2 linked regions of the Lonchura striata genome follow. The main gene of each other region encodes a partner of the protein of the gene in region 2 in a complex. Links are inferred from orthologs where the notes say so. Each region holds a gene or a part of one and is shown on either strand. Other genes may lie near its edges. The genes, in order: GDF5 and RGMB.

The links.
Region 1: the proteins of RGMB (region 2) and GDF5 are in contact, whole or in part, in a crystal structure (PDB 6Z3J), measured with the Homo sapiens proteins. The link is inferred for Lonchura striata from reciprocal best matches to the Homo sapiens genes RGMB and GDF5. Residues at the interface, in NP_001353437.1 of Homo sapiens: Gln57, Thr60, Phe63, Val64, Thr67, Ser68, Leu70, Asn71, Tyr88, Leu103, Val104, Ser107, Ala108, Leu110, Gly111, Ile112, Asp114, Leu115, Gln118; in NP_000548.2 of Homo sapiens: Leu396, Arg399, Phe435, Pro436, Leu437, Arg438, Ser439, Asn445, Val448, Ile449, Leu452, Ser455, Met456.

The regions. Positions count from the first base shown.
Region 1 is NC_134619.1:13,419,238-13,434,793, reverse strand, and holds GDF5 (growth/differentiation factor 5), read left to right. Parts: upstream 1-9,362; 5' UTR 9,363-9,383; coding exon 9,384-10,017; intron 10,018-11,557; coding exon 11,558-12,426; downstream 12,427-15,556. Other genes in the region: centrosome-associated protein CEP250, read right to left, coding at 116-212, 773-967, 2,200-2,306, 2,965-3,021. UniProt on the Homo sapiens protein: Growth factor involved in bone and cartilage formation. During cartilage development regulates differentiation of chondrogenic tissue through two pathways.
Region 2 is NC_134642.1:53,095,925-53,112,552, forward strand, and holds the start of RGMB (repulsive guidance molecule B), read right to left. Parts: upstream 6,955-16,628; 5' UTR 6,852-6,954; coding exon 6,617-6,851; intron 4,280-6,616; coding exon 3,768-4,279; intron 1-3,767. UniProt on the Homo sapiens protein: Member of the repulsive guidance molecule (RGM) family that contributes to the patterning of the developing nervous system. Acts as a bone morphogenetic protein (BMP) coreceptor that potentiates BMP signaling. Promotes neuronal adhesion.

The sequences.
Region 1 (15,556 bases), on a different chromosome or scaffold from region 2:
TGATGTTCCCATACACTGAGCATCTTTACTACTGTTTCTCCTGAGGAAGCCACACCTCTGTGTTCAGGCTGGGGAGTAAACTCTGGGCTATCTCCCAGGTAAAAGTAAAACATACTAGAATCTCCACTGTGTCGTTAAGTGTTTTCATGGTCTTCTCCTTCTCCTCGTTCTGCTTCTGAGACTGTACAAGCAAGGCTGAGAGCTCCATCACCCTGAGAAGAGAAGGTCTACATGCCATTCCAAAAGCTTTGCACACCAGCACCTGTTAAAGAGCCAAGCACCTCCCCAAAGCATAGCATAGCAAAGTTCAACCCAGGAAACACAGCAAAGGCAGCATTCATCTCTACAGGTTAATAGGCTTGATGATGCAAAATGGCACTTCTTGGCCCAAAGGCCTCTGCACCCAGTCTTGCAAGGAATTGTCAGCACAGAGGTGCTGCAGTGCTTATGGTGGCCCTGGGCAAATTCCTCCCAACTCCTTCAGCACAGCCCTGAGAAGTAAAAGGGCGGTACAAGAAACACAACTTTCTTTATGCTGAATTCAGTTTTTCACCAAGAATCAGTTAACAGCAAAAGCATTCTCAGGGGCTATCTCTTTTTCAGTCTTGTCTTACTTGGAAGAATTCCTGTCAGGCAGATACTTTTTTCCATCCTTTCCGTTGAAGGCAAGAGTTTGACTGGAGACAGCTAAATGTGAGCACAGCCCATCTGTAAACCCAAGAAGCTGCCACAAAAGATAATGCTGGAAATAGCAAAGTTAAAACACCTTTACCTGTCCTGAAGCTCTTTCTTCTCCATGTCACACCTGACTGGAAAGGCTATCACTTCCTGCTCTGCCTGATCCTTCAGGAGAGGTTTACCCAGAGGTATGGACTCCCTGAGCTGCACACAGGAGTTCAGGCGAGAGCAGTTCACAAGAATAGATCCAGAAAGCCTCATTTGTTCTGCCTTCAGCTCTGACAAGTCTCTGAAGAGGAACCAAGAAAGAGCCAATCTTCACTCCACTATCTTTATCAGCTGATTCACTTCTGAAGCATGCAATCATGCATCAGGAAGAGCTGGCAGGCAAGGTGACAATTTTGTTGGGAACAAGTCATTCATCTGACACTTGGGGACCAGGACACATCTTGACAGCTGAAAAATGATTTTACCGGGTAGCCAAGTGTGGGGTCTGTTTTCTTCTCAGATATAAGAAGTAAGATATGGCACAGGCCAGAAGGCCTCAAGCACCTCTAATTAACTCTTATTAACATACTGTAATTATCATTAATAGAAATTGGGAATTTTACCAACATCCCCAGCTTTTATACACTCTGCTCTTGAGTGCTCTGTGATCCCCACTTGGACTGCTAAGAAGCTCAAGACTATACCTATATAATGAAACATTTTAGAAAAGTGGTGTAAGAATCAGCCTGAAATGCTGTAACATAAAAGCACAAACAACACAAGAACTAAATAGCAGGTCAGGCAGACTCTACACAATAGGGAAGACTTATAATCAAATAAGACAAATGGCTTACAGTAACCCAGAGTTTGAAAGTGCATGTTGACACCAGAAAGTACTATTACAGCTACACTATTTTTCTTGCGAGAAAAAAAAACTCAGAGAGCCCAAGAATAAGAAACAATCATAAAAAGAGGTATCAAACTAAGCAACATAAATTGGATGAATGCAGTAACAGGGCAGAGAAGCTATTCTTTCTCTCAGCAATGCTGGAAAAGGAGTAAGTAGATATAAACTGACCAGAATAAATGAAAAGGGAAAAAATATGCATTAATCATCTTTCTCTTAGAAGCAGTGGGAAAAGAAACCTGGTAAGATTTTTTAAAGGCAGGTTTTTATAATTTCATAAAAGGGACCACTCTATATGCTGCATGTACTGCTTCAATGAGTCTCTTACCAGGTGTCCATGCATTTCTGTGCCTGTGTTCACAGGCCCACACGTCACCACAGTCATCACCTGCTCAGAGACTCTGCTGTCCTCATGGCCCAAGCCCTTCAGCTTTATCTGAAGATCAGCAGCCAACAACTCTTCTAAGTTCAGCCCAAAGCCATGCTGAATGGCTTTGTTTCTGACTACCAAAGGAGAAATCCTATCTCTGCTGTAACTAACACAACATTGAGGTTCAAAAAGCAGGACTGAAAAGCAAGCAAGCCACACTTTTGCTGCAGGAGATCTCGCCTGAACTTCCACTCACCGGTCTGTGGCAGTCTTCATTTCCAGGAAATGGCGGCGGAAGGTCACCACCTGCCGCCACAGGCTGAGCAGACGGTTATGTTCCCCTCTGAAGTAGTTGTCATAAAGCTAAACATGCAAAGACAAAAAGAAATGCCAATTCAGCCCTTACTGTCACTGTAACCTCTCTCAGACAGGAGAGAGTAAATCACCATCACCAGGGGTCCTTTAATAACTACTGTACCAGGGGCATCAAGGACTGAAGAGGCACCACAGAGGCCCACAGAAGGGAACCACCTGCCCAGAAGAGAACACCCTCACTTCTGTAGGAGTGGGTAGCAGCAAGCAAGCTGATCATGATTCATCACCACAAAGCCCCAGCAGAGGAACACCAACACAAGCTCCTTCAAGCCCAGTGCCAGGTTGGCTTACAACAGGCAGACAGTACAAGAGGTCTATCTTGTTCCTGTGTCAGCCTCTTTGAATCTGAAGACACACGGAACTCTCTGGTCTCAATTGCTCAAAACAAGGATTAAGGAACTATTAAAGAAACAAGTGTTCCTGTGACCGCCCAACAGTGCCCAGGTCTATCTTCTCGACCAAGCAGTGCAGTCACAGAAGGTGGGCATCTGCTCCCAGCACCCTCTGCTGACACTCCTCCCTCCCACACCCCTGTCCAGCACCAGTACATCCTCAGCAGAGCCAAAGCCTCCACACAGCAAGTTTTCCATGCCAGGAACAAAATGCATTCCCATTCCCCTCTGGCACTCCTGTAGCCCAATCTCACCTCACGTTCACTGCGCCATTCACTCTCCTTCACCTCCAGCTCTTCCCGGGCCCTCATCCAATCCACTGTCAGTTTTCCAACATCTTCTTTGAGGGCAGAATTAACCTCACTGGCTTTATCAAGGTGCTCCCGCAGGAGAGTGTTTACTTCTGCCAGATTCTCACACCTAGAAAAAAGAGAGAAACAGGAGGTTGCTGAACAACAGCTCTCCAGCATCCCTGTGTTTTTCCAGCTCCCTTAACACTGACTGTTGCCTGAGAGGCAGTACAAGCACTTTACAGGGTTAACTAAGATCTCTCTGTGCTGAAAACCTCATCTAACTAAAGCTTTGAGCCCTCAATTTCCATCCATGATTTTGGCTTCCCCTTCAACCCTGACAATGCCCACATGTAACAATTTGCCCCCTCTTCATGCTGATGGTCACTGGATGTATCACTTTTCTATAGCACTGTCCACAGTTGTTCACCTACTAGAACCAGAGAATAATTTCAGCTGGAAAAGGACCTTTCACTCAGAAAGGACCTTTCACTTCCCCACTCAAAGCAGAGCCATTAAGCACACAGCACTGTTACTGCACCACAGAAAACAGATTGTGGACCTTTCTCCTGCACCTTGCCCAACCGCTTCCCTTGGGGAGACCGGGTAACACCAACAGATTTTCCCTCACTTCCATGAGCATCCAGGATACCAAATATGAAGAAATGCTTATTTCTTGTACCTTTGCTGCTCCTCTTCCACCTGAAGCAGTGCTTTCTCCAGGCTGTGGTCTGCTGTGGCTTCCCACCTGCCTGGAAGGGATCCCTTTAAGAAGAAAGGAAATGTTTTGTCAAATGATAGTGTGTGCTTCACCACTGTCAGCATCCACCACTTTCCCATTCATTTGTTGGGTATCTCAGGAGCTCATGGCTTCTTCCAGGTGTAACAGTGTTGTGACTACAGGGAGGAAGGGAAGGGTATTAGTGTGAGCAACTCTCCTCACTCTCCCACTGCTATGTGTCCTCACTTCATGACTTCAAGTGCTGATTTGGACTTGAAGCCTGGGAATGCTCTCCTATTCTTCCACCCTGTGGCTTCCAGATCTATTTTAGCTATGAAGCAGAAAGAAATGCATAGAGCCAGTTCTGTATGTTAACCACCAGCCTTCCTGACTTCCAAAATGGTGTTTTAACTGGTTCTTTCTCCAGGACAGCTATATCATGTAACATGCAGCACAGTCCTCTCCCGAGACCCAGGACAAATGTAACTCCAATGAAGCACTCTTTCACAAAATTAAAATCCTCAACTGGGTTTTCTGGACTGTCATTTCTGGGACTACTGACTGCTCTAAGAATGGCAACTGGACAAAACACTGATGGGAAAACTCACAGTGTTTCTCTAAACCCTCAGACAGTAAAAACCTGCTTTCTTGTAATTGGATTGTGGAGCGTTTTTATTGGTCTGCATTTGGGAACTTTATATACACCCTTTTTAGTTAACAACCTGCAGCACACTCACCCCTCCAGCTTTCACTTGCTGCTCCAACTCTCGACACCAGGTCTGGTACTGCAGTACCTAAATGGATACAGAGATTACAGATGAGAGAAGCAGCTTGTAATAGACTCTGCTCACCTCACGTTAACTTTTCTCTGACTCTGTCGAGCCCAAGCACAGTGATTCTGATACACTCAGCAAGAAGTCACTGCAATATCGGGAAGCGTCACTTTAATATGACAGAGATTGGGGCAGGGTTTCTTTCACCGTAGCACTGTCTGCTCACCTGAGACAGCGGCAGCAAGCAGAACGATGGGACAGGTGCGGGCAGCTCTCTACCTGACCTACGGCCCCCACGTACCCCGAGCCAAGTGTTCAAGGGGGCTGTTCAAGGGGGTCCTTGAAGCGAACAAAACGAGTTTTCAAACTTGCTCTGCAAACAAACCGGCCCGACTCCTGCCCGGGACAAACCCCGCTAACAGGGCCGAGCAGCAGCGAAGCTGCAGGCACCGAGATCGAGATCGGGAGGGGCTCGGCAGCGAGACCGCGGCGGGACGGGCGCTCCCGGGGCCGCCCCGAGCCCCGAGCCCCGAGCCCCGAGCCCGCGCTCGGCACCGCCCGCCCGGGAGGCCCCGCGGGCTCCCGCCGAGTGCCCCCGGGCAGCGCGGGCGGCCCTGCACCGCCTCCCCGCCGCCGGGCACCGCCCGCTCCTCACCTCGTTCTGCAGCTGCCGCACCAGCCCCGCCTGGCGCTGCTGCGCCTCCTCCGCGCTCCGCAGCCGCCGCCGCAGCGCGCCCGGGCCGAGCTCCCCGCCGCCGGCGCTGCCCGCCATGGCCGGCCCGGCCCCAGCGTCCCGCCCCGCCGGCCGCCCGCCGGAGCGCAGGCTCCGTGAGGGCGGGGCGGTGCTGCCGCCCTGGGGGCTCCGCTCTGCCGCCGCGGGGAATGTAATCAGGAAAAACAGTGATCGTGCACCCTCCGCAATGTCATCGGGAATTGTCCTGAGACTTGGTTAAGCCCATTGCTAAAAATATGTTTCATTTTGTATTTGGCTGCTGAATAACGCTGGCTTGTTTTCACTCCCTGTTGTTTCCTGTGACAGCGAATGCTTCAGCGCTGACATTCTGGGTTTTTTTAAAGAGGTGGAATAAATGAATTGCCATCAAAATTTTCTTTGTCAGCAAAGTAGTTTGGGATCTCAGGATCTCTCTCTCAAATCTTGAATCATATAAATATGCTTCTATTACAAAGATGAACAATACCTATCAAAGGCAACTCAGGGAAATTAACATTGTATACCAAATGGAGGGACTCTGTTACTGAATAGGCTTGAAGAAACTTGAAACAAACCCTGAATTTCTCTAAATGATAACAGGCAGAGATACCAAAAATTAGGGGGAAAAAATTCCCCCTTAATTCAGAGTTGGGGAAATTAGGTACATCTGTAGGAATCAAAAAACAAAAATAACACTCCCACTCAGGATATTTCATGTTTCTATGATTCTGTGCTTTGTAATTCACTACTGCTTGCAGATGTAGCCAAGTTTCTTGATTACCAATGACACAATTATTTCTTTGGACTTGCAATTTTTTATTTAACATCACAACATGTTAGCACAGTGTTTTAAATTTTGCTACCTTCACGTGGAAGTGGAAACATCATTACATTTGTTTTGCCCTGGCCCAAGACCAGCAAGTTTTAATTATTGCATCTGTAGGTTTTGTGTCATTCTTTCCTTTTGAAAAGCACAGCGCTGTTAATTTCCTTCATAAATTGTAAGTTCACACTTCTAGAAAACAGTTGCCCAAGAGCTATGGTGCAAAGGTCTAAATCCTCACAGAAACAGAATGATAATTAGATTCAATCAGCAAAACAACATGACAGCAAATAGCTTAATATATGGCACTAGCTCAGTTTTTTAAGTCCTTTCTGGAAATTAGTCCACCTGGGAAAGGACAGTGAATTTCCTGATAGATCACTATAAAAACTTCCATGTGCAGCTTCAACTGCAAGTAAGCGGCACAGAGCAAATTGTAACTCTTGGCATCACATATCCAATGAAGCTGCTCATCTGCAGGGATTGACAGTGTTTTCAACACTATGAAATCTTCCTCTGGCTCCCCAGAGTCATCCCTTCCTCTAGACTATGCAGGACATCCTACATCAGAAGGGCTGAGATTGTCTGAGAAAGCATCACAGCTCATGTAGGCATAATCTCAGGATATGGAGAGCAGGAGGCAAGGCACTTCCAGGGAGCAGGGACACGGGTGGCCCTCCCTTTTCAAATCCATACTCACACCGTGCGAGGGAGGAGCTGCTGTCACAGAACAGCTCAGAAGGACAGGTGGGCTACATGAACGCGGCCACTTGAGGTTGCACAGAAATTTGGCTGTGATGAGCAGTGAGAGGCTTGGAACACCACTTCCACTGTGTCCAGAGCCTCACCAGCAGGAGGGTTTCTAGCTACATATTGAACATATCAGTGGAGTTTGAGTTTATCCAGCTGGAATGACTCCACTTTGGTGTAGGGTTCATAGGAACTCCCCTGTCTGTGGGTCTTGTTCAGGGTCAGCATTCCATTCTGGGGTCTGTGGGGCTCAGTGCACTCTACAGCATCTGTGCTCCCATGGTTCCAAGCACTGAGATTGTGGTTGCTTCAAAACAGCCTCTTTTAAAGAGAGAGATTAATTTGCACTTGCTTTTTACTTTCTTTTCCTTTGCTTGCTTGTTTTACTTGCTTTTCCTTTTTCTTTCTGTCTAGCTCTGTCCAGCCCACTAAGATTTTTTAATCTCAGGCATGTAAATATTCTTTGAACATATCAATGATCATGTTTTAATTTGATTTACTAAGACAATGCCCATGTAATCACATTGTCCAACCTCCTGCTCTTTCACCTCCCATCTCTTAAATCTGTTTGCAAATCACAGCCAAGTTTGATAGAGCAAACAAACTTTTAAATATATTAAATTCTTACAAACATTGTGAAAACTGGAAGCTGGATAGATTAAAAGTGGAAATTCAACATTTAGCTTCTTTTGTGGCTTACTGGCAAGCTGATCAATGCCCCCATGGTGCAGAACCAGACACAGCACATCACCCAGCAGAAAGGTGGGCAATATGGGAAGGATAAAGTGATGGCATGGCTGGGAGGGCCATGGGATGGTGTGGAATGACTGCTGGGGAATGGTTTCATTAGAGGTAACTCCCAGGAGAAGCTGCTTTATTTTGTAGGGAAATATCAAAAGCAAACTGACATCAGAGGAAGGGCTATTAGATCAAAATCAGGAAAATCATGATTTGAATCTACCTTATTTGTGACATCTGTAAAATCACTGAACTCTTCTATCCTTCAGTTCCTCCATCAAAATAAGTGAAGCATTCAGAGCTTCTTATGTCATGCAGGTTGTTATTTATGAAAGCAGTTCAGTGTTTCTGATACTGGTCAGGGTGGGTGGGGAATGCTACAGCACACACAGGACAAGCCAAAAGGTGGTGTACCTTTTTCATTTCATCTTAACTCAAAGAAAAGCAATTGCAGAAGGACTGGGTGTAGCATCAATGCAAGATGAGAGATGAGTCCCAGTAATCCCTACTGAGTCCAGCGCCTTCTTTCCCGAAGGCTGATCTAGAACAATAGCTCGTTTTTTGCAGGTTATGAAAGACAGATTTGGCTGAAATGTGCAGGACAGCCTTGACATGAGGAGTGCTGGTTTTGACCTGCATCCTTCTTGGGGCCCCAGGGTCAGCAGCTCTTGGACATTTTGAATCTAAAATTCAAAGGCTGGTGTTCAGCAGTCTCGGGAGGAAGGACAGGGTTCGGCCTGCCTCCAGCTCCCGAGTGGCTCTGGAGAAGAAGGAGGAGGAGGAGGAGGAGGAGGAGGAGGAGGATGGCTGCCTGCAGGGTGCACTGCTGCCTCGCTGCACCGCGCCCGCCCCGCGGGGCATCCCCTCCAGCAGGAGCTGCTTCTCCAGCTGGGCTGACACGGGTTTTTTTAAGCACAGCAATAAATAAGCCAAAATACACTGACTGTGGGCACGGCCCTGTTGAGTTTGTGTAAAATTAAATGTTACCCTCGTTAAGCGCCTGCGTTCCAGCGCAGCCCTTCAGTCACAAGGGGACGGAGTGAAGCCACTGTTACAAGCTCTCTGGAAAAAAGGCTACATGAATTATTTCTAAATTAGTTTATGTATGTGTCCAGTGGACTGTGTGACAGGTCTCAGTTGTTGATCTTGCAGTTTGTCCTGTCTAAACGTGAAGTTCATCGAGGGCTAAGGCAGAGGTCATACTGCCACTTGAAAAGGCATCCTCTGGAGTTTTGAGCCTGTGGAGCTGTTTCACATGAGGCAGAGTATGACTCATGCTAATGAAAAGGGTAAAGAAGATTTTTTTTAAGAAATATATCGCAGTAAAATTAGTTTAGACAGCATGACATCAGAGAGTAATTAAATAGGTTTGTTGGAATTCCGTTTCCAATTCCAGAGTTCAGGTTTGTAAAAGATTTCTGAGCACCTGCAGATCTCTGTGTGTGAAATATTTTCACTGGAAAGGATTCAAAACTCAAAACTTTAAAAAAACCTTTTAACACAGAGGCAGCATTACGCCATTCTTCCTTCTTGGAAAAAAAAAAAAAAAACCTTGGATTTAAACAAGACTCCTTCAAGTTTTCAGTCAGTTTTACAGAAGAAAACGAGGTGGTAAACTTTCTCTTTTCAAGAACAAGTTCTTTATAGCTGCTAACTGAAGTCAGGGGAGATCGTATCTGAGTACATGAGCATTTCCACTATGGGACTGGATACAAGTATTGAACAACGATATTTGAAATGTTTTAATCTCAAACAAAAACCATTTTTGCTAACTTTGGTTTTTAATTTCTTTCATGTTTTCTTCTGCCAAACTGGAGGAACCTTTTCTGATTTTTTCTTTAGTGGCATTCAGAGGAAGACCAGAGGATGAAAATCCTGCATTTTCTCACTTTACTGCTTTGGCATTTGACTTGGCTGTCTCTGGATCTAGTTCCTGGAGTGCTGAGTAATTCTGAAGCAGGCCAGGGTAATCCAGGATCTAAATTAGGTTTTTTGAAAGCAGAAGGAAAGGAGAGGAATCCCTCCGCACGAGCAGGTACATTGAGGACTTCAAGCCATGGATACAGTGCTGGGACCTCAAAGGCCAGGACTAAAAGCAGTGCTGCTCAGGCTGGAGCTCTGCTGGCCAAGAATGATGACTCAAAGAAGGTTCCCTCAAGAACAGCAGCTGCAGAGGGCAAGGTAGGACATCTCCCCAGCAGACCTTCTGGAGTAAGGACAGTGACTCCAAAGGTTCAAAATCTTAGCAGCAAGGTGGCTTTGAAAAAAACTGGCACAAGCAGTACTGACACTGATTCTTTCAAAACCAAAAAGACTAAAGAGCCTGTAACCCAGAGGGAAGCTAAGGAAACTTTCCGACATCCCCCAATAACGCCACATGAATACATGCTCTCTTTGTACAGGACTCTCTCAGATGCAGAAAGAAAGGGTGTTAATGGAAGTGTAAAACTGGAGGCTGGACTTGCCAATACAATAACCAGCTTTATAGACAAAGGACAAGGTAAGAAAGAAGCTTGTGTGTGAGTGAGTGTGGACAGAGAGAGATGTCTGAGTGTGCTTATAAATGTAGAAAGTATTGGAAAATAATCATATTTCAGTAAAGTCAAATAGCTCTTTTTAATGTAAATGAAATCACACAACTTTGCTGCAGATTTTGTCCTCCTGCATTATCTTGGAAAACTCATTTACAGGCAGAACTAGATGGTTGTGTGGAAGCCAAAGAAAACATTTGGGAAATATTTTAGATGCATATTGTTGAAAATCAATCAGTCTTTGCATGCTTAGGTGTTTAAAAACCTTTCACATTTTTGCCTTATTTTCTTTCTAGCTGTCTGGAAACTAGCTCATGGAAACAGCTAATGTTAGATTGTAGTGTGCCTAAAAACATATAATATGCTAAGAACAGAGCTATTCTTTGAAAAAAACCCACAAGTTTCAGTATGAAAGGGCCAGTCTGGTTTGTTCAAGGTAGAATTGTGAGGAACTACACTGCACTATCCTGTGGGGTGAGAGTATCTTTAGTAGCTTAAAACTTTCAGGTAGCACCAAGGAGCCCACAGCTCAGCACAGGCTACCAAGGGTAATAACACCCAGAACTTGCAGCTCAACATTCCTGTTCCAAACACTTCCAGAAATTTGGGCTAGTGTCTGCTTTCATAGGAGAAATAACCAGCCTCCCAATGAATGATGTTCACCTCAGCACCCTTCTTTGGGAGCCCCATCTTTCTTCCAGTGACATTTGTAAGAGTTTTGTCATGTTCTCAAGGAAGCAACACAGCTGGTGAAGGAATTGTGATGAAAGACTCGCCAGGACTGGATTTGTTAGCCATCTCTTCATTAATAGCTTGGCTGCTGGGAAGGGGGGATGCGCTGCTCACAGGTGCTGCCTTCAGGTTCCCAGCTTGCCACTGGAAGCCACTGTTAATGTCACATCACTGGAATGAATATGGTTCAGCCATATTCTTCACCACCTGAAGCAAGTGATTGTAAAGTCAGGATGAAGGGAGGATTTTTTTCTGCCCAGTTTGAAAAATTTTAAATCATGTGGGATTTAGTTCATGAGGCAATTATCCTTATGTCTAGCAGTTCCTGGGGATACTGGTTTTAAAGGACTAATTCACTATTGCATCATCTAAGGGTAAATTTACTCATGTTTGGAGCCAGCATAAGGCCTGGCCACCACTAAAGCTCTCTTTCTGTAATTTAAGTAGGTTATAAGTGGTAAATAGATCCTGTGAATGCTCAGTCCTGAAAAAGTATTAATTTTCAACTGGCTAATAACAACTTTGAAGGTAGAAAATGCCCACTGGTGAAAGAAATGGGATTTCTACAAGGCAGACTTGGAAACTCATTTCTCTGGTGAGTCCCTGATTTCTTCTGAGTCCCTGCATGGGGCTGATCCCTTAGACAAAAATTGCTCTTTCTGTTCAGTGGGTAAACTTTGAGGCTTATGAGCAAATTTGAGGAAAGCCATTAAGAACTGAATAAGTAATATTGGTCTGTGTTTGATGTACATTTAAAAATCTGTGTGCTTTTTTCAGATGAGCGAGCACCAACTATAAGAAAACAAAAATATATTTTTGACATCAGTGCATTAGAAAAAGATGGATTGCTGGGAGCAGAGCTTCGAATACTGAGAAAAAAACCTTCTGATACATGGAAGTCTCATTCTTCTGGGAAAACTTCCCAAGTAAAATTATTTAGTTGCTCTACAAACAGACAAGCCTCAACACTCTTGGACTCTCGGACTGTCAGCATCACCGATACACCCAAGTGGGAAGTGTTTGACATCTGGAAACTTTTCAGAAACTTTAAAAACTTGGTTAACTTGTGTTTTGAACTGGAAACTTTTGACAGGGGGAGAGCTGTTGATCTCAGGAGTGTGGGATTTAATAGAACAGGAAGACAGGTCAATGAAAAGGCTCTGTTCTTGGTGTTTGGGAGGACGAAAAAAAGAGACTTATTCTTCAATGAAATCAAAGCTAGGTCTGGCCAAGATGACAAAACTGTTTATGAGTACTTATTCAACCAGAGGCGGAAGAGAAGAGCTCCTCTAGCAACACGGCAAGGGAAGAGGCCCACCAAGAACCTGAAGGCGAGGTGTAGCAGAAAAGCCCTCCACGTGAATTTTAAGGATATGGGCTGGGATGACTGGATAATAGCCCCTCTGGAGTATGAGGCGTATCACTGCGAAGGGCTCTGTGAATTCCCCCTCCGATCCCACCTGGAGCCCACCAACCACGCAGTTATCCAGACATTAATGAACTCCATGGACCCTGAGTCCACCCCCCCGACTTGCTGTGTCCCAACCCGGCTGAGCCCCATCAGCATCCTTTTCATTGACTCTGCAAACAACGTGGTCTACAAGCAGTACGAGGACATGGTGGTGGAGTCCTGTGGCTGTAGGTAGCAGAACAGTTGCTTATGTGAATATGTTATGAAAGGCAATTTGACACATTGGACATAACTTCTCCTCAAACAAGGTTAACTAGGTTTCTTACCCCTAGGGTAAGTATGTTTACAAGGATGTAGCAATAAATCCAGTGTTTTTGTGTCTCTCCATGGACATCTTTCAGTAGCATTTGGATGCTGTCACTCAGCTGGATTTAAGGCCTTGTGCTGCTGGCAACACAGGACTGACTCTATGTGAAGTCCATGACAGAGAAGATGATTCCTGTACACCTTGAGATCTCCTGCTTTTAGCTGCAAGGTAGTGGATAGAGATGAGATCAGTGAGCTGTGGATATGAACTGTTTGTTCCTTGAACATTGTTCTGGAGAATGAATTTCTATCTGATTCCTATGTCCTTTGTCCATTCATAAATGTGAGAAAAGAATCCCAATGTTGAGAAGAATTGTGTTCTGATGTACCCCCATCTTGGTGTAAATATGTACTGTAATATGATTTCCTTCTGATTAGCTCTTGAAACTATGCATATATAAAAAGGGGTCATTAAACATAATATGTTGGTTTAGTTTTAAGTTTTACATAAAGATAGGTGATGCAGGAGGTATTTGCTTCCATGTATGTTTTCCTCCAAGCTACACATCTTTCTTAAGTATCCACCTTTCCATTATTATGTAGCAAAATATATTATTCTGTATAAGGTCCAAGTTGTTCTCAAGTGCTCATAGTAAAAGCATTCAATTATGGAATAAGATGTAATAAATTATTGACACAGTGCTGCATTGTGCCTAGCTGTCCAACTCTGCATAATTATAATGCAATTAAGAAATTGTTTTATGTTTTTGTACAATAAATATGTGAAAGGGACTTTTCCATGGAGCAGAATACCATGGATATGCACAACATGTCTGTGTATTTTGCTGCCACAGAGAAAAACCGTAGAAACATTGAAAAAAAGATCTGAAAGGAAGACCTGGTTTGATCTGGTGGGGAATGACACTATGAATTGATGTATTTGGAGCAAAAATGAGTTATGCAGAGGGTTGCAAAGAGCTTTGGTATACTTTTATTCCAACCTCTAAGGGCTGTGTGCTTGTATATCCCTGTTATCTATTACAGACATGAGTTATAAATGGGATTGTCCCTCTATGTTTCCACCCACAAAGGTAGATACCAAATGTTCAACTACAGATGGATCAGAAAGGTCCTATGAACCATCAGAAATTACTGAAGGATTTAATCAGTAATACAAAATATAAATGCTAAGGTTTGATATTACTTAGACCATTAAGTCATAGAATTTCCTGGGTCTGCACAGCATCACTGGTGTGGGTAGAGGCAGAGAGCTGAGTACAGTCTCCAAGGTCCTTCTGCTCAGTACCCCAGTCTAGACATCCTCAAACTCATGCCAGCAGCAAACCATCCTAAATTCCTGGTCAATGGTCATAAACAGTGACATAAATTTCTGCCCTTCCTCCTGCACTCTCTGGGCAGCTCAGCCTTTAACCAGCTTAATGTATCTGGATAAGCAGACTTGCTGCCAGACACCTGGGGAAGCCCTGTGCAGGGGACCTGCCCTGTGCCCTCACCTGCAGCTCAGGGATGCAGAACAGCCCTGCAGGGAGATTTGGTCTGTGGAATTTGCTCAGTGGTCATTCCTGCCAGCAAAGACTGACGCTGCCTGGCTTGGAGGGGCTGACACTGCCTGGTTTTCCTGCCTGCAGGGACTGCCCACCTGCTGCAAACCCGGGGACCAGAAAGCTGCCCCTGCCCGGACGGTGAATGCCCAGCATGCAGGGCAGCAGGCACGTAGAATGAGGGTGTCTTATGGGCCTTTTTGGTGTGTCAGGGCTGCCCACAGGGATTCCCCATCTCCCTTTTGGACTCTCAGTGTCCCTTCCCAGGTCCTGCTCTTCCTCATCCTCATGGAGCCTTAGGCCAGGCGCAGCAGTTACTGACCCCCAGCACTAACTGCTTATCACCAGCCAGTCTTTCAAACCGACAACTCTAAGCTTTTCAAAACCTGATTTATATACTGCTGATTTTTACCGTTGCTGCAGTAGGAGGGAAAACATTCCCCTGCCAAGTCCAAAGCCAGGAGGGCAGCTCAGGCTTTTTTCCCCCCCCACTATCTGTTCAAGCAGTTCTTTTCCTCCTCCTGTCTGTTCTCAGGTGTGTTTGCAGCTTCCTCTAGCACTGGCTTCAGCTATCTCCTGGAGAAGTTTGCTAGATGACCATGACAAAGGATGGTCTCCTTTCTTACTCTGGGAATGCTGTTTGCACATTCCCAAGGAAATCTCTGCTCTGACATGTGCTCTGACATCTGTGCCATACCAGTTACTAAACACACAGGCACATTCCTCAATGGCTAAAGGTGATCAGTTTAAAATAGCAAATACTGCCTATTTAAATACACTTGAAACAAATCTAAGATAAGACAAGTTAACTCCTGGGATTAGGACTGCCTGCACAGGGTAGTTTGCTTCAGTAGCACCTAGATTCATCAAGCGCTGTAACAACCGTGGTGGACGGGAGCACTGGTGTTACACATGAGGCATGATAGCTTGGAAATAGGGGGAGGAACATTCCTGTTTGGTTCACACTGCAGAGCTGGTGACCAGCCTGAGAGTCCTGGTGAGGCTGGTCACGATAGCAATTTTCAAAAACCTAATACGTGTAAACCTCTCTGAGGTTCTTTCTTGCTGTTCTTGTATGAGTTTTTCAGTGCAGGAATAAAGTAAGATAAAGACTCAGGTAAATGGTATTTAAATTGAGCATGTATCGGTATCTAAATGGAAAAATATGCCAAGGTTTTGCAATTATCCCAAAGCAAACAGTATGATCTGAGGAAAAATTAAAAGAAATACTGTCAAACTAAAGTCTTAAAAAACACCCTTTGATAATCATTCAAAAGCCTACATTCTGCTTGGTGGGGGTTATACCTAGAAAGGAAAATAAAAAACCAAACCACCAGTAGGTCTGTAATATCAGTTTAAACAAATTTGAAACAACAGAGAGTAAAATGCTGGAATTGTAATGGATTATTACTGCTTCAAAAACAGCTTTGGCCAAAACAGAAGCAGTTTAAGCCCAAGTGTCAGGGTTAGGAGGTAAAATGACATTCAGTTTGTTTG
Region 2 (16,628 bases):
ATTGGAGTAGGTCACAACAGAAGAAAAAGCAGGTCCTCCTTAAGTATCCTTGAGGTCCTCCTCAAGTCTTACTTGAAGGGAATAACTAAGCTATATGGCAGATGAAATGTGGAGTGTCTAGCAGCTTTCCTAAAGCAAAAATTAGAATGAGAAATCACATCTAAGTATTACAAACAGATGTGCTACTTCCTGTAGAGAAAGAATGACTAGAAGGGAATAACTTACTGAAAAGGTAAAAGACATTTTGCACCAAGAATAAATATTTTAATAATTATTTTCATCATTAACTGATTAATCAAATTAGTTACAGTCTACAATTTAGGAATTCTGCTATGAGACTCACTCAAAAACTTCAAAACATATCAGAAGGGATTTTTAAACTAAGGTTAAACTTAAAATCTGTTCCACAGCAACCTCACATTTTAGTTTCAGTTAACCAATGGACTTCTGCATAACTTTTATTTCTGCCTCTCTCATTTAAAGTAAGACCAACACACTTCTGCACAACTTTTATTTCTGCTTCTCTCCTTTCAAGTAAGAGCAAGAGATTAGATCAATAACCATTTACAAACAATTTTAATAAAACCTCTGGCCTCATTAGTCTCACCTCTCTATACAATTTTTATAAGACACAAGTCTTCCCACCTCTCTCCTCCCATTGCAACAATTTCTTCTTTGGAGTACACACACATATCTTAAAAAATATTACATTAATTTTCAGTAATTGGCTCATCCCAGGTGGTGGATGTTTTGTCAGTGTTTGTCTCACAACACAGACACTACTTACTATTTTGACTTCATATGTTCTCACTAGTGCTGATGGGATTTTTCCAATGTTTTTTCCTTGCATTAACCAGTTATACAGCATGAGATGTATCAGCTATATACCTTAAGACCATCTTAGTCAAGTAATTTAGTAAAGTGATGTCTGTGAATGACAGCTGAGCAGGAATGCTTATGCCCAAAATCCACAAAACACACAAGTGCCTCTTTTGCTGTAAAGATGACCTCACAGTTTTGCTCTTAGTAAAGTACACTCAGCAACCTACAGAACAGAAATTCGAGGTCTCTCAAATGATTAGTATTTCTGCATATAATCCAGGCCATAATACAGTAAAAAGCCTTTTATTTTGTGTAACACAGTTTGAATGAAACAGACTTCTATCTCAGCCTGCTCAGACAAAGAGGCATTGCTATTTTCTTGAGCACACTTGCATTGTTCTGTGAAGAATAATTTACACACCTACAGAAGTAAAACTCTAAGTTTCCTTAGCACTTGAACAAGACTGGAGCCAAAAAGAAGTCTCATTGTTTTAATGAGACACTGAACTACCTGCTTCATAAAATATTTAAGCAAGACACCTGGCAAAATTGATCAGGAAGCAGCTACCAAATTGCTCTCTCCAGAACTCCCTCATTTACTAGAATGAAATGCACACAATTTCAGAACACAGAGAAAGAACAAGAAGCCTTCACACTAATTTAAGATTAACAATAACAATGGATGCTGTAGACATGTAGAAAGCTGAAATTAGATTTTAGAGAGCTTTATTAGATGAATAAAGGCCTCCATGTATGTTGCAAGGACACTTTAAAGAGAGAATCAACAGAGACATTAAGATTTTCCAAGGACATACTTGTATTTAAACACTGCAGCTCAATACACTGATTTTGAATATTCTGTTGTCTGTTGGGCAACATCCACCTAAACCATAGGCCAGATCAGTAAAACCAGAGTGCTGCATGGGCTTTGTCTTATCATACACTCCTATCTCAGTATCATGCCCTGGTACTGACAGATACTTCAGAACCTACTGCAAATGGAGATGAAGCAAAATGTCATTGTAGAGCTTTCTCTCTTTAAATTCTCAAGGTATCAGAGAGCATTAAAAAGTGAAAATGGTTATTTCTAACAAATGTTTATGTACCTATGGTACTTTTCACACTCTGGGTCCCAAGAACACCTTCACACAGCTGCTTATGCAGTACTGTTTACAGACTAGTGATTAGCTGCCCTTTCTAAAGTTAGGATGGAAAAATCCGAATGCCAAAATCTTCACATAAAGAAAGATCTTTGAAATTATCAGTGTATCAGCCTTGTTCTTTGGGTACAGAGCTCTTCTGCAGTGAGGCTTGCTGAAACACAAAAATAAAGGTTTCCAGAGGCTTATCTAAGGATACAATAAACAAATCAGCTATAGTAAGATTACTAAACCAAAGAAATTTACACATTTAATTTTGAACTTCATCCTCCCACTCCTACTGATGCCAGTACTGATGAGTACACTGACCACAAAGCTTTCTTAAATTCCACTGCACATATAAAACCTTTCAAAGATGATGTTACTGAGCTGTAAAACTACCATTTCTAGAGAAGGCCCTAATGTATTTGTAGAAAGTTTAAGGCTTGTGTGCCTTAAACAAAAGCAACACTTTCAACTGTTGAGTTCTTGTACTTATCTTCTTGTGGGAATCAGACACAGAAGGGTTTGATCTACAGCCTTAGAAAAAGCTTAGATTCATGTAAAAATACAAAACACAGATACTAAGCAGAAAAATTATAAATTTTTATTTCTATAGTTGTAGGTGAGAATATGCCTTAAGTAAATGAGAAACTATACTGGTAAGCTGCTCAAGTGTTTATAATGTAGGGGTGTAGTTGTATGGAATCAGCTAAGAGTTCAGAGTTATAACAGATGCATATGTATGTCTGTGAGTTAGAAGCCCATTGGATAAAAATAGCCACAGTGCAGTAGAAGTAAGTAAAGGTGATAGGTTAGAAAAGTAAAATAAATCCTGTGGCAACTGTCTGTTGGTTTTGAAAGTTATATATTGCCTTGTAACAAAAAAACTTGTGACTGCTTAGTAAATGTCTTGAAGCTGTGTACATACAGCCTGATGTAGCTTGACAATCCAAGAGCTACACTAACACTATTTTTAAAAAAGCCCTTTCACTCCAAAAGAGATATGTGACAATATCAGCTTCAAATCCAGTAATTGATGGACTCACTTGCTACCTGCATCCAGCAGGAAGAGACACAGACTTTTCTTAAGTTAAAGAAATGGCATCAGTTATTAAATACTAGTGGATGTATTCCTACTCTAGACTCCTCAAAATATCTGAGAGGATTGCAATCTTAAGTCTCCCCTGTCTCAACAAGGGTTTAATATCCGTGGCATAATTTTAAGGCCACTGTTTGTTTAGTACAGCTCAGGTACTAAAGTCCTTGTCACAAGCATTCAGCTTGCTACCTTCTCTCAGTTCTCTGCAGTTTGCCCTCTTGTTTTGGCTCTGAATCATCAGTGTTTTGGTAACCAGTTTTTTGTGCCACTCTCAGTATTATTTGTTTCCTACTGTTATAGCTGTGAAGTTTAGAAAATTAAACTTCATTCATTAAACATACATTCTTTACATCTTTAAATTCTTTTCCAACCCAAAGCATTGTATGATTTTTCAAATTTCTAATTAGTACAGAGGCAGTCACAGATGTACAATAATCAATAACTGTTTTAAAGTGTTACATCAGTATCATTACAGGCTTGTGTGTTGATACGCACAGGTTTTCTTAAACAAGAGAAGAGGGAAGAAAATAACCTGTTTTGTTTGATGCTCATTAACAAAGATGCTAAGAGTTTTATTTTTTTATACTACTGCACAGAAGATTCTCAAGCTAATACACTTTTTCATTGTTAAGGGCTAAATGACTTACTTAACTGTTTGCCTTTCACTTCTTCATGCATGCACAGTACACAAAAATAATCTCTACCTTGTTTGTAGCAGTAGCGCTGGATCCTGGGACCACAGGCACATTGGTCACTTGTACTGATAAGTATTTATTGTCTATAAGGGGCCAAGCACCTTCCACTTTGCATGTCTGGAAGTGATCCTTAAAAGTCCTCAGATGAGGATCCCCAAACAAGCCACAAAACAGGTAAGTAGGAGGAGATGTCTTCTCTCCCCCTTGATGGTCTCTCACTTCTGTGTGGCCACTGTAATTGCAGGGATCATGGGTTATTTCAGAGTTGGTGGAGGATGTGGGTCCATTTTTGGTACAGTTTCTCTGGGTCATGAGATCACCGATCCCAAGCACTGCAGAATGGTAGACTAGGTTTCCACGGCATACTTTGGAATTGCGATAGGTACACACAGAGTATGCTCGCAGGGCCTTGCAGAACTCCAAATCAAAGTCCTCAAGAGCTGAGTTTAGATGTGTAGTAAAGGATACAAAATCAGTGGTGCACTTCTGGATTCCACAAGATGTGTGCAGCTCACAGTCACCTAAGCACGAAACAGACAGCAGAAAGACATAAAGCAAACCTCTTAAGTGGCAATACCCCTTTCCACTCCCACAAGAACCATAAGAAAACAACTTGAAAGAAACTTAAAAGTGTTCACTCATTAGGGAAACATTACATTTTAAAAAAGAAGAGGTTGAAAGATAAAAGCAATGGAGAATATCTCAGAGGCTGATGAGACTCATGATGTCTTAATCCATTACTTCATATTGTCTAGATGAAAATTAAGAGCACTAGGTCCTGTCAAGTACAAGCCACACATTTCTTTCTAGATACCAAGGTCATGGTATTCTGTTTTTAAATTAATAACTTAGTCAATAAGGAAGCCTCCATTTAGTTTTTAAGTGCTTTTTATATAGAATTCTGCCCCTCAGAAGAATGTGGTAAAGACAACAAAGTAATGTTATTTAGACATTGTTTAGATGTTAGACATAAGTCTAAAAATGTTTTGACAAAAACTAGACTGAATAAAGCAGAAGCCAAGTTCTCTTCTAGAAACAAGAGTGGGGGAGAATGAGCAGATAAGCGAACAAGCAGTTTGCTTTATTTCCCTGGCAATGCCATAGCTAGAGCTTCACTGCTTATTTTTTTGAAACTAAAGCATGAAAAAAAACAGTTTTCTGAAGTGCAAGTTTTCAGCTAACGCACCTGTACATTGCAGTAACTGTACCTCAAAGAGCAAAATTCATAAGATGGGGGGAGTAAAACCCTCTCTCCACAAAAGTCTGAAGTGATTATCAGATGTATACAACTGCTACACAGTTGAACTTACATGAGCACACCAGTCACATTTTATCTGATAACCTGATTTCCATTAAAAAAAAACCAGTTAAATCCTTGCAAGCAAACCAAAGTTCTACAGTCTCCTCCACAGCTCTCACAGGTATGATCTGAAATCATTCCAGACTCTCATGGCAGTTAACATCAGCTTTCTAAAGGTAACTTTTACCAAAGAACTTACCAAGAGCAAAAATTAAATGAAAAAAACATACTAAGGACAACAGACCTACACTTTTCCCACAGGTTAAAAGCAGGGGGATCCCAGTCTAGGAGAGCTCACATTTCCTGCCATCCAAAGAGAAAATGGACTTTCATAAAGAACTGGTGCACAACTTCATACAATAGCTGTCCAAGCCTGCAAAACTATCTACTAAAATTCATCTGTAGGAACATTTGTCTGAAATTTCTCACTGTCATAAAGCAGGTTTTGAACGCCACAAAGACCCATGGAAGAGTTAAAAAAAAAAAAGGGAAAACGAAATATATGAGAAACTTCTGAGCTGTCAGAAGTGGAAAATAGGTTGAATAACAAATGAATAATTCATTTCTAAATAGCTGCTTTCTTCAATGCACCCAGTGATGGGAGGATATCAGCAATTTCTTTGCCTGCCCCTTAGCTCACCTTCCTGAGTCAGTATTCACATGACTTACTCCGAATATCCAAACTATGAATTTACAAGGGTAATATGTTTTGCCAGTGATGCGTAGCTAACACAAATCTGTCAAAATCCCATGACAACATGAAGTAGAATTAGGAACTCTCCACCTACAGCTAAGCATGACCATGCCTTGTGCAGGTAAGCTGAAAATTTCTTTGTGCAAGCCATACATACCTCTGCAGAATACAGAAAAAAAAACCCAAAAACAACAACAATCAATTTCTGTGTTTTCAGATATATAAAAAAGACCCATACCAAGCAAAATGACAGAGGGAATACTGGATTTAGAGCCAGACTTTCAAAGCATCAAAACTTTTGTTTCCGTTCAGTTGTATTTGTAATACTATTTTAATCACAAATAAATCAGGCTAGCTGAGCAAGTCTGTCCAGTCATCAAACAGTTCAATAAATTACAGAATTAGAGAATTTTTAGCGCTGGAAGGGGCCTCTGGGGATCATCTCGTCCAACCCCTCAGCCAAGGCAGGATCACTTAGACCACGTGACAAAGGCACGTGTTCAAGTAGGGCTTGAATGCCTCGAGAGAAGGAAAATCCATGACCTCGCAGGCAGCCCGTTGTAGTGCTCTGCTACCCTTAATGCAAGGAAGTTTTTCCTCATGTTGAGGTGAAGCTTTTTTTGTGTTTCAGTTTATAGCCTCCTTCCTGTCGCTCGGCACCAATGAAGGAATCTGGCACCATCCTCTCAGATGGAGCTATTATAAGCATTAACGAGATTGCCTCTCAGCCTTCTCTCCTCTGGACTACACAGGCCCAGCTCGCGAATCCCGCCTCATGAGAGCCTCTACGGGAAGGAAAAGGACCCGCGTCTGCGCGCGCACACAGCTGCGCACCCGTCCTTCCCAGCCCCACACTCCCGGTACCTGCGCCCAGCAGCAGCAGCCCCAGTGCGGCGAGCAGCCGCCGCAAAGCGGCGAGCGGCGGCTTAGCCCTGGGGGCGGGCGAGTTTACAGCGCTCCCCATGCCCGGCCATGCAGGTTCCCGAGCCGGTGGCAGGACGGTACCACGGCATGAGGCGGCGGCGGCGCGGGCGAGTGGGCGACGTTTTCCACAGTGCTTTCCCATCCGCCTACTACTGCTCCAGCGGTGCGGCCGCATCCACGGCAGCGGGGCGGGACGCGATGCGCACAAAGGAACGGACCCCCGATGGGGCAGCGGCGGCGGCGCCTGCACCGGCGCTGCGACCGGCGCGCCCCCTCCTTCTGCGCCGCCTCTTATTGGTTACCTGAGCTGTCGGTCATGGCTAGCCCAGGCGCCTGACGCCCCTTGCCGGCAACGACCCGCCCGCCGCGGACCCCGCCGCCGCAGCTGCTGCGTCACTAACGGCCGAGCGCCCGCACCACTAGTCGCACCCGTGAGGCGGGAGGGGTATTGCCGGAACAGGGCAGGGAACACCGCCGTGATAAGAAAGGAAATACCCCGGAATAGGGTGGGGAACACCGCTAGGACAGGAGAGGCGGCTCAACCGGGATAGGTTAGGATTACCACCAGGCAAGAAGGGGGCACGGCCGGGGGGGCAGGGACACCTCAGGGATGGGACATGGAAGACCTCCGGTGCAGACAAGGGACGCGGCGTGACAGGGCAAATGGCAACACCGGTGGCCCACCGGCACTGCTGAGAACAGGGCACGGGACATCGGTGGCCCAGAGCAGAAGTTACCAGTGGGACAGTGCAGATGGCAGCGCAGATACAGGGTGGGTTACAGAACACCGAGATGGGGCAGCTCCACTCCTTCCCTGTGGCCATGTGTACTTGTTCCCACAGGTTGGCCCAGGTTCTGACAGCACCTGACTTTACAGAGCAATGGATGTGAGGTCACAGTTATAATCTACCATCAGGATTATGTGTGGGTCCTCTGCTTGTTTTTTCTACCTCTGTCGAGGTTGGGATTGAAGGCACTTGAGATGGTGTTTCATGTTTGGACTCAGGTGTTTATTATTACTTATCAGTGAAACAACCTCACAGCCTGCACAACCTCACAGTTCTGCAGTCTTTCATTAACAAAGCATAAAATGGTTTACTATCTCTTGTTACAAAGTCTTTTAAAACTAAACAATCCAATTAAGAAATGACACCTAGACTATTTTCCCTTTTAACCCAATAACATCCCTCAAAGCCCACAATGCAGACTTTTCTGTCCAATTACAAAACAACACCCAAACCCATGAAGAAGAAGGAAGAAGGCGAAGAAGAGCCTCTCCCCGCTAAAACCCCCGTCTTGCTTCATATTTATTTCTATATTCTAAAACCCCAAGCTCTAAATTTTCCACTGTGATATTACACACTTCTAACCAACTACACACCTGGAATCCCAGTGCTGTTAATCAATTTTGGAAGTCTTCTCCACAACTTCAAGTCAAATGCAGTGCTCTCTTGTGAGTCTGTACCTTTCAGCACAGAAAGTTTAAAATTCTCAGCATCCAGGATTCCAGCAATTATGATTATTCCTAGGATTATTATTAGGATCACTATCACTTCCACAATTATGTTACAATGTGATGTCTGCCCCTGTGGCTTTTGGAAATACACTGCTAGTTGTGAAACATAAATTTTAAGGAATTTAGAGATTTTAGAGGAGCTAAGATTTTAGTTAGAGATAAGCTTTACTAGAGTTAATTAAAATTAATGAGTAGGCTTTGATGAAGTTAAGAGTTAGTAGTTAACTAATAATTGATTGCTTGTCAGCACAATGTTTAGTTAGCTGGGTTTATAATGAAGAATATAAAAACTGGAAATAGCTTTTAGGAACATAAGACAATTGTGGGCCTCCTCTGTTCTGAAACCAATTGAAGAAAAGGAATGGGAGTTCTACCAAGAGTTCATTTGTCATATTTGCATTGAAAAGGTAGAAAGGTCAGAACGAGGAAGACTTCATTTAATTCCTCAGTTTGGGACCCCTCCCCATGAAAGGGACCACCGACCGATTTCAAGGAACAAACTACACATCCTTAATAGCTTTTGAAATGATTAGCATATGAAATGAGGAATGGGATGTACCAAAATTATTAATATGTATTTTTATTTTGGATATTCAATACTTGTATGGATAAAAAGACTCTGTAATCACCTGGAAGCCACAGTGTGTATTTGGGAGCTATCCCGCACGCTGCCCGGTGTTGAATAAACATACACTTTCTAACTTTATACTGTTAGAGAGATTTTGTCCGTCACAGTTGGATATTTGTACTAGATAAATATCCATATTTTTTTAATAAATCAGTTGGAGGCTGCCCTCTGCAGAAGTCTCTGTTGCACCCTAGAAAGGAGGGCATCACCAAACCCGAAATGTACATCTTATGTATACAATTAGTAAGGAGAAGTTTTTCAGAGTTGTATTGTGTTACACAAATCTGTTGTGCTGTTTGGCAGCCCCATACTGTCTCAAGGATTCACCTACCTTGAAAATTCCCCTGCTTCACAAGAGGACTGCCTCTATCCAGGGTCAGAACTCATGTGCTTGACCTTCTCCTTCATGTGCCTTCTCCTCTCACCTGCAGCACTGGCATCAGTTTGTTCTTTTCCATAGCACTTTATTTTGACATCTAGAATTAAATAACAGAGGAAAATTCTATATAAAACTGCACTTTCTAGCAACACTGCTTCCCTCTTTTGGTCCTTGCAAATGTGCACTGTAAAAATAGAAGTTGTGACTTGATGAGAGTTAGTTAGCTCAGAAATTTACTCAGCTTCTGTAGGCTGGATTTTAGAGTCCAGCAAATATTTAAAAATGTGCTGCCATCCAGTATATATCCATCATGGATGGGACAGAGATTTAAAAGCAATGTTTGCTGAGGGAACTGATGCTGCCGATTCCCACAAGCCAAAGGGAATCTTCTTTTTGCAAAGAGACTAGGAGTCCAATGCTGGATAGGGAACTTTTTTTGAGAAGGTCTGACTTGTGAGGCTGTAAGAAAAGTGGTCAGAGTGGGGAGAATGGGCAGATACACCTATGGGTGAATCCACATTCTGATGGCTTTCAATGACACCCCCTGCCATGCACAGGACACGGGTTGCTTAGAGGATGTGTCCCTTAGATGTTGACAAGACAAAAGCTATTTAAGTATATTCTGGTTTGAAAGCAAAACTAGTGAGAGACTCCAAGTCAGAAATACAATTTATTGAGAAAAGGGAAAAGAGAAAAAATACATGCAATGATACAAATGGAAAGACCACTGACAAAGTCAGAATACAACCTGACACCCCTTTGGCCAGCATGTTGGTAGCAGTCCAAATTAGAGTGGCTGCAGTCCTCTTGGAGTGGCAGATGTGGTTTCTTTTTGTGCAGTGATCCTGTAGAAGAGGTATAGTTGGTCCAGTGGAAAAACCCCAGATGTGTCCTCTTGGAAACCTGTGGGAAGGCTGTTTCTATGTCTAGAAATCTCAGGCTATATCTAGGTGGGAATGCTTAGCTCCTCTCCCCTGGACAGAGCATCTCACAATGGGCTCATGTCATTCTGAGTCACAAGGTGTGTCTTTGATCACAGAACTGGCTCCTGGAGAGTGTTATCTCTGAGTCATGTGGCAAGACATTGATGGGCCCATGAACAGGAGATAAAGAAAACTGCCAAAGGGCAACTGCTACACAGATGGTACTAGAAAACGTCCTTCCATCTTGGATGAAGTGTCATGCAAACACATATGAGATTAGTGTCTCCCTAGACTCTACACTTGTCATGGGGACACTCAACCTTTAGGCACCCAAAATTAATGATTCATGAAAAAAAAAGGGAAAAGACAAGCAAGAAACCTGCTGCACACACCAAACAACAAACCTGCTTTTGCTGTGGTATGATATCTTCAATAAATATCTGTGTTCTGTGATAATGTCTGGTAGTTTCCCTGGGCAAATCTGTGAGCTGCAGAGATCTACCTGTAGTTGACAGAAGGAAAGAAGAAAGTTCAGAGGTATCTTTCTGTGTATGTGACAACCTGGTCAGAGAGTGAGAAAACAACAGAAGTTTTCTCACTGTGGACTTGTGAGACTTTTAGGAAGTTGTAGAGAAACAATGATAGCTTGTTATTGTAAACAACCTGCAGGTGTTATTTTTCTGTTCTTCTCCAGGATTGTTTGTGATAAAAGTGTTTTTGTTCATTAGCCAATCAGGTAGAATGTGTCAGGTCAGTCTATAAAGAGGAGACTTTTGGCATTAAAGCTCCTGTTGTGCAAACCAGCCTTCTTGGAGTCTGTGCCACTTTCTTACTCAATAGTGACATCTTTCCCTCTCCCATCACTTTTAAGCTAGTTTTTCTCTCCCTCATAAAAAGATAATACTGAGGATCAATACACCTGGTGAACTGAGAAGCTTTTCCTCTGCTGCTGTGCTACAGACAGATTCAGTAGCATCGCTTCACATGGATATCCACAAAGTGACCAAGTCACTGCATTTGTGCCCCTTAAATTCAAAATTCTGAAATCTGAAATCTTACAGTGTTGCGCTGTGGGTTGATTTAGTCAGTTTGTTTTAGCAATGTTAATTAGTCTTATGCTCTCCCATTTGTCCCCTTGCAATTGGATTGATACAAATTGTTTACGCCAAAAGTTCCTGCCACTTGGCTCCCCAGTTATATGTCAATCATATCTCCCTGTTTTCTCGTTATTTGGTTCCATCAATCCGAGTTTGTTTATACCCTTTTGGCTGTCAATCCTGTAACTATCCCCAGTTTCTTCCAGAAAGTTTTGTATCAATCACTCCAGTTTAGCTTTTCTATTTGTCCCCTGACCTTGTACCTATCCCTGCTACATTATCATAGGTTGTTGTATCCCTCTCTGGTTTATCCCCATTAGGCAAGACAGGTTTACACCTCTGTCCGCCCACCCCCTATTTAAGTTTCTGTAATCATTGATTTCTTCAGCATTTGTCACTGTACCCATTCAGAGGGCACCTTTCTTGCCCCACTTGGGGAAATAAAGGACTCTGGGCTGGTATACAAGTGTCCTTCTCTCATCTCTTCATCTCCTCTCAGTGTGCAGAGTTACTTAAGCTGCTCGTCCACTCACATGGTGGCCACACAGCCTCACATGGGTTGTACTAGCCAGACCCTTCCACCTACCTGGGGCCATGGATGGTAACTGCCGCAGGTGGTGCTCCACCATCAGGCAGGAAAATAGCCGTAGAGGGACATGTGCCACCACTGTGGGCCTCCACTGTTGGAAGTCACACCACCAGATGCCGCCACTGGACGCTGCACTGCTGGACCCCACTGCCACCGGCTGCCACGGTTGGAAGCCACTGCTGCTGCTTAAGGCCACACGACCAGCATGCCACCACCATTGCGTCGCTGTACCATGCCGGCCACTGTGCCATGCTGCTGAGCTGCGTGCCGGGACTACGCCACCCACACACGGTGGCTGCGGTCCAGGACCACACTGCCCACGCCAAAGCAGCATGCTGGTCTCCTGACTGGTGCTGCCAGACCGTGTAGCCGCCGCCACTGCCAGACCGCATAGCCACCGCCACTGCCAGACCACACTGGCCGCCCCCGCACCGGCCACTGCCATAGACGCAGCCACGACGAACACTGCTGCCTCTGCATGGAACTGCCCCTTGCTGGACTGTGTGTACTCAGTCAGTGAAAGCACCAACGCCCTTGAGTGAGCACACAGATTTTTTGTTCTGCTTATGCCCACAAGGAATGAGGCTTTAACTCCTCACCAATTGCTATAGGGAGCTGTCTTTGAGAGGAGGACCCTTGACACAGATTGATTTCTGAAGATCGTCAGTTGGGTAAGTTTTCCGGTGGGTGGGACAGACCCGGCCGGAACTTCCCTCACTATGTGGGTGGCCATGCTCCTGAGGGTAGGGGAGGTACAACGTGCAGTGTGAGTGGCTCACCACTGGCGACTCTTTGGCCATTTTTTGTTTAGTTGTTCCTTTCCTGTGGCAAGTGCGTGAGATTGTGTGAGTGAGCAGCATGGATATTAGGCTGTCCACTCACCAGAGAAAATTATATATCCAAGTTAAGGGATTCCTAAGGGAGGGTCATCAGTTGAGGGAGGGGGGTGATGTTATTCCTAAACATTTGGTTAAAAAATTCGTCCGATGGTTGTTCTTTGCTTTTCCCGGATTCTTGGCAGAGAATGTTAGAAAAAAGGATTTTTGGAAGGGAGTTGGTGTGAGATTAGCAGAAGGAATCAAACGTGGAGACCCCTCCATAAAGGACAGCTTCATGAAGCTGTTTGTGCTGGTTTGGGAAGTGGTTAAAAAAGAAGGTGCGCAAGAGGTGGATGGGTGGCTGAAGAGCAGCCAGCGGACAAATCCCCAGTTTTTTCTACACCCCTTTCCCCACCTAGCTCTCCCTTCCTATCTTCCCCTAAATCAGGTGGACAGGGAAAGGCAACCCACCACTTGCAGGTGCAGGGCAGCTCCTGCAATGTGGACTGTGCTCCTAGCTCCCCCAAGTCCCCCCAGTACCCTTGCTCTGATGGCACTGGCCATGCTGCCAGGAACTTTATCCCTAACCCTCATCTCGATCCCTCTTTCCCAGTTATACATCCCGGTTTCGGCACAGCCCAATGCAGTTCTGCTCCCCTAAATCTTTCCCTTTGTCCCCCTGGAGAGGCACCACTGCACTACCAATGCGAAATGGTGGCAGGCGTCTCTCCCTCTCCCAACCCCTTTGTGCCTTTTCCCACTGTTGCCTCAAATACCTCCTCTTTCCCTGCTGACGTATGTGCAGCCCTTTCTGGAAATTGTGTAACTCCCCCTCCCTCTGCTCCTCCTCCTGTGGGTGTTCCCTCCAGTCCTCCTCAGTTTCTCACGGCCCGACCATTGGCCCACCCCCTCAGTCCACAGAGGTCTGTCAACTCTGCCCCTCAGACTCCAGGTTTGGACCACCCTCCTCTTGTTTCCCATGCCCCACCTTCAGGTTTCCACGGTCCCTCAGGTACCGGGGAGGGAGGGGGGAACAGGGAGGGAACAGGCTTGAGCAGTAGATCAGCCATTCTTAGCTCCAGTCTGTTATAGGCCGGTGGGGGGGAAACCCTAGATGGGAACCCCTCTCCTACAAGGCTATAGAAGAGCTCTGCAAGACTCAAAGAGATTTTGGCCCCAAAAGTCCTTTTTTTCAGGAACATGTTATGAGCAATATTTCCATCAAAAACATTGGTCCCTGCAGACCTTAATCGCATGTTTAGTTGTCTGCTCAGCCTCTCAGAATAAAAATTATGGGAAAGAAAGTGGAAGAGATGGGCAGAGGGCCCATATGGCCTCAACCTTGCCAAGGAACCAATCACTTTAAACCACCTTATTGGTGAGGGAGACTGGAATGAAGCACTGCTGCAGGCTAGGGGAATTCCAAGAGCAGTGCTGGACATGACCAGGGATGCGGCAGAGTGCACGTTCCTGGCTATGCCCACCAAGGAGCCAATGCCATCATATGCAGCAATTAAACAATTTGTTACTGAGCCTTTTATAGATTTTGTGGACTGTGTGAGGGAAGCTGTGGAGAAGCGTGTGGAGGGGCTGGAACTCCAGGACCAGATCGTCCTGGAAATTACCTCCATGAATGCAAATGAAGTTTGCAAAAGAATTATCCAAGCCTTGCCTGTCTCATCACCACCAACCCTTGACCAAATAATGGAAGAATGCATGTTGCTTCTCTTTCGACTGCCACTTTGCTCTCGGGGGTTCCTCGCTGCTGTCACCCATCCCTCTCCGGCCCCCCGGGACCCTCTGGCTAGCTGTCCCCTCCAGGGCCGGGGTTTTCCGCGGTCCCGCTGCCCTGGGCTTACCAGGCAGCGTCTGGGTTAGCATGGTCCGAGCTGCGGCGTTGCCTCAGTCACCGCTAGGATTCGACATAAAGAGACCAAGAGAGACCAATGGTATGCTTGTCCAGATAGATTGTATTGCCTGAAGCGTTGCAGGGACCAAAGGCCCTGGGCTATTGCCCAGATACAGTTTTATACAGCAAAATTAAGAGATAAGGTCTTAAACAATAGAGACAGTGTCCAGCCTGGGCACATCAGAACCACCCCAGGGGCCAGGTCCAATAGGAACTGCTCAGGGGTGGGGAGAAGGGGGTCTACAGAGGAATGCTGAAGCGGGACTTTCCCGAAACAGTGGAGCATACATAAATGTATCTTTTACCTCAGTTTACCATTCCCAAGGCCTTTCTAAAACAATGGGGCATACATGAATGTATCCTTTTCCTCAGTTTACCATTCCCAAGGCCTTTCTAAAACCTTCCTCCATGCTACCATGCCAGCATGATAACAACAAATGCACACAGAAAGCACAACTCATGGGAGAAGAGATACCAAAGAAGCCTCAAGACAAAGTGGTTGCTCCAGCTGCCACACCAAGGAACTTGTGGGATTCCTTAAAAGCAGAGGGTTTTGGGCACGTTGCAAAAGACAGGCCTCAGAGACAGCAGGACGGTGATTTAGAGATAAGCAGTAGCTATAAGATTTGTCAGCAGAAAAATTATACAAGAAGTAGAAAGAAAGGACCAATAGAACAATGGTCTGTGTATTAACGCTTGGGTAGAATAACTCCCTAAATTGCAGAAAAGTATATCTGGTGAGATATTAGGAAGTTCTAAGCTTAATAATGGAGCTCTGTGCATTGTATCTTGAGGCTTACAAGCAAGTATTGTATTCTAAATAAGCAAGCATTGTTTTAAGCAAAGGTATGTGTATTAATAGTGATTGGATAGAACTACTGTCAATATACTTTTGTGTGATTGGTCAAAAGGCTTATAAAGTAAGTTGTAACATTAAGTTCTTGGTTTGTTGCCTGGGATGTGAGCTGCTGGCATCTTCCCATTGTTATAACCATGTAATGAGACTGATGCTAAAAAATAAACAGCTTGAGACATATTCCACAGCAGTCCCGTCCTGTTCATGACTTGTATTTAGCCCCTGGCTGGTGATAGGAACTCAGCTCCAAGGCAGTTCCCATCTAGGTGCCAGTGCTTCCACTGCCATCAGGAGGGCCACTTTCTGGCCCAATATCCATTTTTGGGGAATGCATCTCCAGGGGCTGCAGAGGCGGTCGGGGAGGAGAATCCTACACTTCAAATAAACTGAAGGAGGAGCGCAGACCTACCTCGCGTGTAGACAAAAATGAGGTGGGTTGTGGCACTGCACAAGGAGCCGCGATCCATCATTTAGTGCCATCAGTAAAAGTGGCTGCCTCTCAATGACTGACAAGACGGAACCTTATCAGCTTCGACTCACTAACCCTGTCCATTTTCCTTCTCAGGAGTGGCATTTCTTTATAGCAGATGACAGAGCTTCTATCGCACATCTGCTGCTGTGAGACCCGATGGAGAAAAGACCTCCTGAACTGTAGGTACCTCATTGTCAGGGACACAAAAAACACTTCACTTGAGATAGAGATCCCTCCTGGGATCTCCACACTTGACCCGAGGGTCTTCTCTCTCATGGCACGCTGTGTCCACCCCCCCACCCCCTTCTTACCAAGAGGCCAGATCATTGCACAGGCAATTCCCATTCCTTGAGTCCTGTGTGACGATCTGGAACTCTCAGTTTTTTACACCAAGTGTTTGGGAGAGGAAAAGCCCCCTTGTATGGTGTGGCCTTAAGAGCAAGAGGCATTCACTACAACTCCAGGGGATGATGGACACCAGAGCAGACATGACAGTGTCATGGTTTGACACTGGCACAATGCCAGTGCCCCCATGAAAATGCAACCTCTCAATTGAATGCTGTGAAATGTGATTGGGAACAGAGCAAAACAGGCCCAAGCTTAATAGCAAGGGGGGAAAAAACTTTATTAAGCTACTACTATACTACTATAAAGGAAGAAAAAAAGGAAAACACACACATAAATCTAAAATGAAAACCTTTCAAAACATTCCTCCTCCTACCACCCAACTCTAATAAACCACAGTGAGACACATTTGGACCCTTA